Kluyveromyces lactis: one gene and its partner. The main gene of each other region encodes a partner of the protein of the gene in region 2 in a complex. Links are inferred from orthologs where the notes say so. Each region holds a gene or a part of one and is shown on either strand. Other genes may lie near its edges. The genes, in order: IOC4 and IOC2.

Region 1 (3,329 bases), about 670 kb from region 2:
ACAACAACAGCAGCAGCAGCAGCAGCAACAACAGCAACAACAGCAACAGCAACAACGTTTGGCGCTCCAACAGCAGGGCCAAAATTCACAACAGCAACAACAACCCCAATCCGTACAGCACCAGCAACCTCAGGTTCAAGGCACGGGCCAAACTCCGAATTTCACTAATGCTTCTTATTTAAACCCAGACCATGCTGCCGCCTACGAACAATACTTCAACGGCGTTAACTCTCAACATGGCCAGTTTTGAACTTAAGGGATTTCTTAACTGGAATTCTGTGAAACACTGACCACTTCAAAGAAATGGCACAGAAAGACATGAAAAGAGCTGAAAACCATATGAATCTAATTAACTACTTTGAAGCAAACTTTTGTTCTGTTATATTTTCGTTGTTGTTATCAGTTAATTTATGCCTGTCTACGTGTTGTGAGCTAACTGTTTTTTTACATCCTTTTTTTCTACTACTTTCCTTCCTGGATCTTATTATTCTCAAATTGACTGGTTCAGTGGCACTAGAAACAACTGTTCAAGATATCTGTATCCACCTTCTCTTTCCTTGATGACTTGTCATCGAAAATGTTCGAATTGTAGATCGGCCGTCGATCTCCCGATTCTCTGGTTGAATTGAAAGATCAAAGAAGCGTGCAGGGCGGAGACGAAACTAAACTAAACTCAAATGAAATAGAAATAGGATACAATACAAATTGACTTTAAGTTTAATTCAATTACTACCGATACGACATGTCAGAGATCTGTGACTCTTACACATTTCCTGGCTATCAGAGGCTGTACAAATTTTAATTATCCAAGCGCAACTGATGAAAAACTCTCATACCACTTGACTTTTTAACCCTTTTCCTTTTCCTTTTATTAATTTTTTTTTACATTCTATGGACTCTCAGAAATGATATAAGACTTTGAAGGACAAGCTTTCCTTTTACTATATCATTATCTCTATGCCTAATTCTTCTCTCTTCCTATTTTCTTAATAAATAACCCGTTTCCTCTGGACCCTTTTCTCCTATCGTTTGTAGGTTTTCTCCGAGAAGAATTATCGTTTGTGACAGTTCTATATATATATATGTATTTGTACATTTTCTTTTCTTCGCTGGTGTATACTAAAACTTATTTCAGTTATAAATTAAGGTTTACTATTCTTATGGTTAGCGTAGCAAATAATCAGTCTTGGATGGTAAGGTTCATTATTGCTTGGCTATTTGCATGTGATATAATGTTTTTGCCTTAGAAGCTTTATTTTCAATGATTTTTAAACACGAAATCGTAAATTTCAGGTTACTTAACTGCTACTGTGAAATGCGATTTCTTTAAGGATTGTGGAATATCTAGGTATTCAACCCTTGGTGTTTCAAGTATCTGCTAGGTATACTTCAATAGCGAAAACTGTGCATTTCATAATGGTGTCAAAAATGTTGCAACCTACGGATATTGTAATTGCAAAAGTAAAAGGTTATCCACCATGGCCAGCGATGGTTATACCGTTTGAGATAATACCTCAGCAAATTCTTACGAAAAATAGATCCAAGCTTCCAGATGAATCAGACCAAGATTCAGATAGTGCTGAGAATATTGAATATTCACCTGTGCTTACTTTTAAGAAATTTACTCGTGAGTTAACCAATTATTGCGTGAAGTTTTTTCATGATGATTCCTACATTTGGTTAAACCCACGTAATTTGCATGAGTTGACACTACCACAGATCGAGGCTTTCTTATCTAAAGTTAACAGTAAGACTTCGAAAAATTTGGTCCATGCCTATGAAATGGCTAAACAAGGTTTGACTACCGGTATTGACGTGTGGGAGTTTGTGGAGTATGGATCCAGTGGGAAACCAGATGATGATGACTACACAGAAGGCGAAAATGACGAAGACGAAGATGATTACGTGGAAAATGTTGACTCTGAGGGAAGTTCGAAGAGGAGACCAACTCGAAGCAGTTCTAGGACGAAGGCAAAGAAGCCGAAACCAGCCCCAAGAAGGTCAACAAGATCTAATACGAAAACAACAGATGATGATAAAAATAAGGATAAACATAGAGACACAGATATTATTGATGAGAGTGACATCTCGGAAGACCTGGATGAAGAAAGCCCCTCAGTACCAAAGTCAAGGTCAAAGGTCACAACCAAAGGTAAGGCCAAAGCTGCAACGAAAAAAAGTACTAAAGCTGTCCTACCAAAAGCAAAAACTAAGCCAGTTATATATCATTACGAAGATGATGTCGATTGGAAGATTGTGGGGTTAGGGCCCCAGGACTTAGAATTAGATTCCCACCCACCTTTTGCGACAAAGCTAATTACCAAAAAAAATCTTGAGATCCATAATGATTTGAAATTAGAGTTGAAAGACAGATTGTCTGCTGCTAACAAAATGCTTATAGAATATATTTTGGATAAAAACGATGATCCAGACTTAATTCATTTAATTTCGGATGAACTAGCCATGTGTCTCTCTTTGAAAGGAAAGCATAACGAATTATGGACAATGTTTTTATCAAATCCAGAGTTCCTATTAAACTATCGGGTTCTTCTCAATTTGAAAAAGCAAGCTCTTCAAGAATCAAATGTTTTGGGTAAGTTTTTGGAAGCATACGAAGAAATTTTTGATCATCCATTCCAATTTGATACTTCATCATGGTCTTCAGATGCACAGATAATCAAACCAGAGCCTGATAAAAATGAGCCCAATCCAGAGTCACCCCAAGTCACTGCAGCTGGGTAGTGGTCTTCATTTTAAAGAGTTTTAACAACGTAGCTTGTATATCAGCCACGCTTTCCGACTTGATTAATTAAGCTTTTAGCATATTTGACTGTTTATATTTCGGGTGGCCTTGGTTGTGCTCTTCTCCATAATATAGTGGTTATGCACTGCAGCGTGGTAAGGAGAATATGTAAAAAAAAATAATGAACTACTTTCAATTCTCTTCTGGAGGTCACTCAACAGATGACTGATAAACGTATCAGAAAGACGTTTAAATGAGAGGGACATTCACTGGAGTCATCTCCATCAATACATATTCTTCTGCGTTACGTCGACTCAAGATATATTGCACTTACTTTACTCAAAAGGAAACACAAGTATGGTTTTATCGAAGACTCACTCAATAAACATATTTCATAATGGAATTTACCATGGCGTCTTCTTGAGATATGGGTTCATGGCTATTCAACACATGACGGCTTGATTCCTGAGGGGAGGCGAGGTGCCACGAGGAGGCGGGGCAGTATCCACCTCGTGAAATTGTGTCACTGCATTTGGTGTAAGATTCTTATGGTTTGTGTCGTAAGATAGGCTTAAGCCAGGCATCC
Region 2 (4,456 bases):
GACGAAGGAGACACCGAAACTGGACTAGAGAAGGTTCTCTGGTTTGAATTAACCTCATATTCATTGACATTACCCAGCGCCTTGAGATCTTGTTTCAGCTTGTGCCTTGAATATTTTGTCGTCGGTTCAAATATTCTAGCCTTAGATTTTATATGATTCAATATAGGCATTGGGCCAGGATTCGTCATCGTGTTCAGTACTAACAGCCCCATACTCTTTACTTTCTCTAATTGATAAGTTTTCTTTCCGCTGCCTGCTGCTTGTTTTGATGACCTCTGCTCTAATCCTTCAAATACAAACACGGAACTGATTTATAAGGTTTTAGTTATGTAGCCTTTTGTAGCATTAACCTGGTAGGTGATGATATACGCGTCCTGGACAGTAATTAGGATCCCGTTTACACCTTCTTATGTTATATATCCATCGTTTCATATAAATAAGCACTCTCTAATTATGGAAGATGCCTTCGGGCAATTGATGACGGATGGCAGCTTGACTGAAAAAGAAATCGCTGTTGTCAGCTTTTTCGGGAATTTAATGACTTTTTAGGAAAGACCGCAATTGTTGACCGGAAAAGGGATTTGCAGTCATGTGATTGAAAATCTCAAACGGAATGTGCATCGCGATTATAGATTGTAAATATATATATATATGTATATGCTAATATTACATTTTGCGGCTTACTATTGGGATGCTTGCTGTATTTGCCATGAAGCCGGTTGAGGTTTGTGCTGATCTGGTGTTTGTTGCGTAGTTGGCGACGTACTGGAAGTTACTGGGGGTTGATTTGGTGTAGTCGAGGGTGAGGCAGTTGAAGGTGATTTTGTCAACTCCAGTTGCCTTTTCTTCTCTTCCTTGATTCTGCGACGTTTTTCCTTTTCCTCTGCCTTCTTTCTTTCATTGGTTCTTATTAGTTTCACATCGGCAGCAAAATTTTGTCTTAGTTCAGATTCCATCTCATGTAAACATCTTGACGAGATAAAGGGTTCCATGACATCGAAAGGTTTCCTCTCCGTAGGCCTATTCTCGATGTAAGATGCCTTGCCGTTAACCGATTCGTCCCTTCTCGAAGATCTTCTACGAAGGTTCTCGTCATACATCGTTACCCCTCCAAGTTCTCTGGGTGTTAACATGTGGTCATGTCCATGTGAAAGGATGGCTATTACTGATGGGTCCTGCTCCTCCCAAAGTTCCCATATATGGCTTTTTTCACAACATACTATCTTTTGGTCCTTCACTTTCTTGAAATCGTTAATACCGTGTTTTCCACTCTTGCAATCCAAATACCAATCCTGAGAATCGACTTGATAGTTGTTCGTTGGAATACCAAATTTGGACAGACTGTCAAGATCCTGTTGTGTGATACAAACGTCTGCTGGTAACTCTAATGTCTCCACGTCTTTGTAACTATACGCACTTTCGTCGACTGGAATAATCCATTGTTTAAAACTTCTACCATACCCAAGCACATATGAGTCGACTTCTTGTAGAAACTGCTCGCCATCTATATCTATTGTGTCATCCATGTTTTTCCTCTTTAGTCTCTCTTGTCTAAAATCTTTATCAAACTTTTCCCATAGTAAAGACCATAGGTAATCCTTTAATTTCTTCGTACGTCTTGTTAAGATTCTGTTGCGATGGCGTAAGAATTGTTCTCTGCGGTCAAGCTTGTCATACCATTTCGTTTCCGTCTCCTTCTTTTGATGTCCTTCATCGCGGGCCACTATTCTGGAAGATCTCTTTCTTCTGACCATTAGAGCTTGCATAGACTGTTGTTTCAATCTGTTAGCATACAATTTACGTCCGTAAACCTCTGCCTCTGCATGGTATTCTATTAAGCCTTGGAAAAATTCTTGAAAATCAATATCATCTATCGTTTGTAGATATTCGACGAAGCTTCTATAATCATGTGCTAACGTTTCATAATCGATCTTGACATCATTTAAATAGGCGTCGATCTCATCGGAATAATCCAAATGAATTACGTCTATAGTGGCTTCTGTCTCTTCGACAAGAACACAATTCTGTAACTTTATAGGTATGTTCAATCCGTTTGATTCTGGTTTGACCGATACCTGTTTCCTTATAATCTTTCCAGTGGGTAAGACCACCAAAGAGGTAGCATCATTCTCCCAAATCTCAGGGAATTGGAAGCTATCCAAATGGTTTTGTAAATAGTTCCTAAAACCAATGTTCTTTCTTTCTACCAATTTAATGACATGGAAAATGATCTCGAACTGTTTTAATATGTTGAGATCCGCGAATTTGCTATTGATATCCTCTGTGTACCAAAGTAGAGATTTGTTTAATTTCGAATTAAAAATGTGGTACTTCACTATTTCATCCCAATGTTTCAAGGATACCGTCTTATCCTGTTCTAAAGACCTGATCAACCTCAACAAGATACTCTTGAATAAATTCAGTATATGACCCTCTTCGTCCTGATCCGTGCTGCCCCCATTTGGATCCTCCGATTGAACCAAATCCAACGAATCATTTTCGAGACTCCATCCCGCATTATAATCTAAGAGCATTATTCTTTCATCAAACGTGATTTCAGTCCACCAAGGTTTCCCCGTAGTGAAACCTAGCGTCCAGTAACCAGTACAAACGTTATGGAACCACATCACACTGTACTGATAATACCAGGACTGGATCAATTCCTGCAACGGTACAAAATCCAACGCGATTGGGGGCAACTTATTTAACTGGTTCAAGATTGTTCGGTCGATATAGTCATCCCATTTCACAGCCGTTGTTTCGTAATCTGATTCTACGTCACCATTGGGAAGGGCCGTCTCTTCAGCTTTCGTCTCGACTTTCGTACTGATCTCCTGCTCTTGCTTTGCCTCTTGCTCTGGCTCTGGCTCTGCCCTGCGTCTAAGTCTACTACTTCTCTTCATACTAGACACTATATATTTTTTCTTTTGAATTCCCTTTCTGCAGTTGATTTATAGATCGTGTCGTATCGTATTGAATCGTATTGTTTCCCTATTCTCACAGTTTTTGGTTTCGATACACGACTTTCACCTGCAATTCCAATTCCTCAATTAGAACACTCCAGACTACTCCCTTTTCCACTTGTACGAGGATATAAAGATTAAACTTAAACTCAATATAAATTCTCTACGTTCTAAAATCACTACTTTGAAATCAACATCTTAAACCTGATATATAATGTATGAAGCTTAAAGGCTGTTTGCATTTTGAAGCACAATTCGAAATTTGAAAATTTGAAAAAAAAAAAAAATCGCGAAACCAAATATAAGTCCGGGTAATCGAGTTATCTGCCAATCTTTCATTTTCATTTTTAAGTTCTCGCGCGTTCTTTGCTGTACTTGACAGTTGACAATGCATAATTTACTTGACATTTACGTGAATAGAGGAGGCTTAAATGAATCTTTGACACTGTATAGATCTATAAACATCACTTAACACTTGTGCTGAAAGTTCTTTGTGTATGCCGTTTACTTCCGCTACTCATGTCATCTGGCCCGCCGTCTTATGAGTTAAATACACTTTTCTGTGGTCGTATTATCCCCAATACACCCACACATCACATACTATACTGCAGGTTTTCTTACTCTCTTCGCCTCGCCCTTTTTGCCTCCCCTTCTTGTACGTAATATTAGAAGCAAAGATCTCTTCCATCTCGGTGGGAATTTATTACGAATTAATACAGGGGAACAAAAAAACAAAAAATTAAAAGATATGATTAAAGAATACTTTAGTACAAGTAAACAAAGCCTGGCCTGGTGAAGATAGCATCGTTTTGTCCCTGCTTGTGAGACATTAATCGAGCTTGAAGTTAAAGAATCCATTCCATTCTTTGTCGGAGTTGACGTTAGGAAAGCAAGAAAGAAGTACAGTGTTTTCTACTCTCTTTTATTTTTTTGGTCCATTTCATATCTCTCTCTTTCTCTTGTTTTCTGGGTTGTCATTGGCCTTTGGATTGAATTGGGGAGTGACGAAACGATATTTAGAACCAATCTTGAATTGATTACTTTCACAGTACACTAGAAGTTGTTTTCCCCCTTTTTCTAGGGTTTGTTTTATTGGTGCCAATTATTTTACTTTGGTTTCGTTTAACTCATAGTTTATATCCACGATGCCTTCAGCTCAAGATTACCACGTAAATCCTCATTTCCATATGGGCGACAGGGAGGGTGAACATCAGCAGCCGCCAATGGCACCTGCTACGCCTCGTATGATGGGTCGTCGAGTCTCAGAGAGCAGTGCTCCGGGACTCATGCCCGCTGCTAACATTGTGAATGATACCACGCAACAACCGCAGCAGCAACCGCAACTGCAGACTGTACCACAGTCTGTCCCAGTACCAGCGCAGAGTTTCAACGATGTGGTTAGTAATAAACCGTTCCATAGGAAATCTTTAGGTGACTGGGATTTTTTGGAAACAGTAGGGGCGGGCTCGATGGGTAAAGTGAAGTTGGCCAAG

Evidence for each region.
Region 1: IOC2 (region 2) and IOC4 share a complex: the UniProt entries of both Saccharomyces cerevisiae proteins name them as parts of the ISW1B complex. The link is inferred for Kluyveromyces lactis from reciprocal best matches to the Saccharomyces cerevisiae genes IOC2 and IOC4.

Annotation. Positions count from the first base shown.
Region 1 is NC_006042.1:2,471,663-2,474,991, reverse strand, and holds IOC4 (Ioc4p), read left to right. Parts: upstream 1-1,416; coding exon 1,417-2,742; downstream 2,743-3,329. Other genes in the region: KLLA0_F26807g (uncharacterized protein), read left to right, coding at 1-250. UniProt on the Saccharomyces cerevisiae protein: Functions as a component of the ISW1B complex, which acts in remodeling the chromatin by catalyzing an ATP-dependent alteration in the structure of nucleosomal DNA.
Region 2 is NC_006042.1:1,804,155-1,808,610, forward strand, and holds IOC2 (Ioc2p), read right to left. Parts: upstream 2,904-4,456; coding exon 684-2,903; downstream 1-683. Other genes in the region: GIS3 (Gis3p), read right to left, coding at 1-212; serine/threonine protein kinase KIN2, read left to right, coding at 4,109-4,456. UniProt on the Saccharomyces cerevisiae protein: Functions as a component of the ISW1B complex, which acts in remodeling the chromatin by catalyzing an ATP-dependent alteration in the structure of nucleosomal DNA.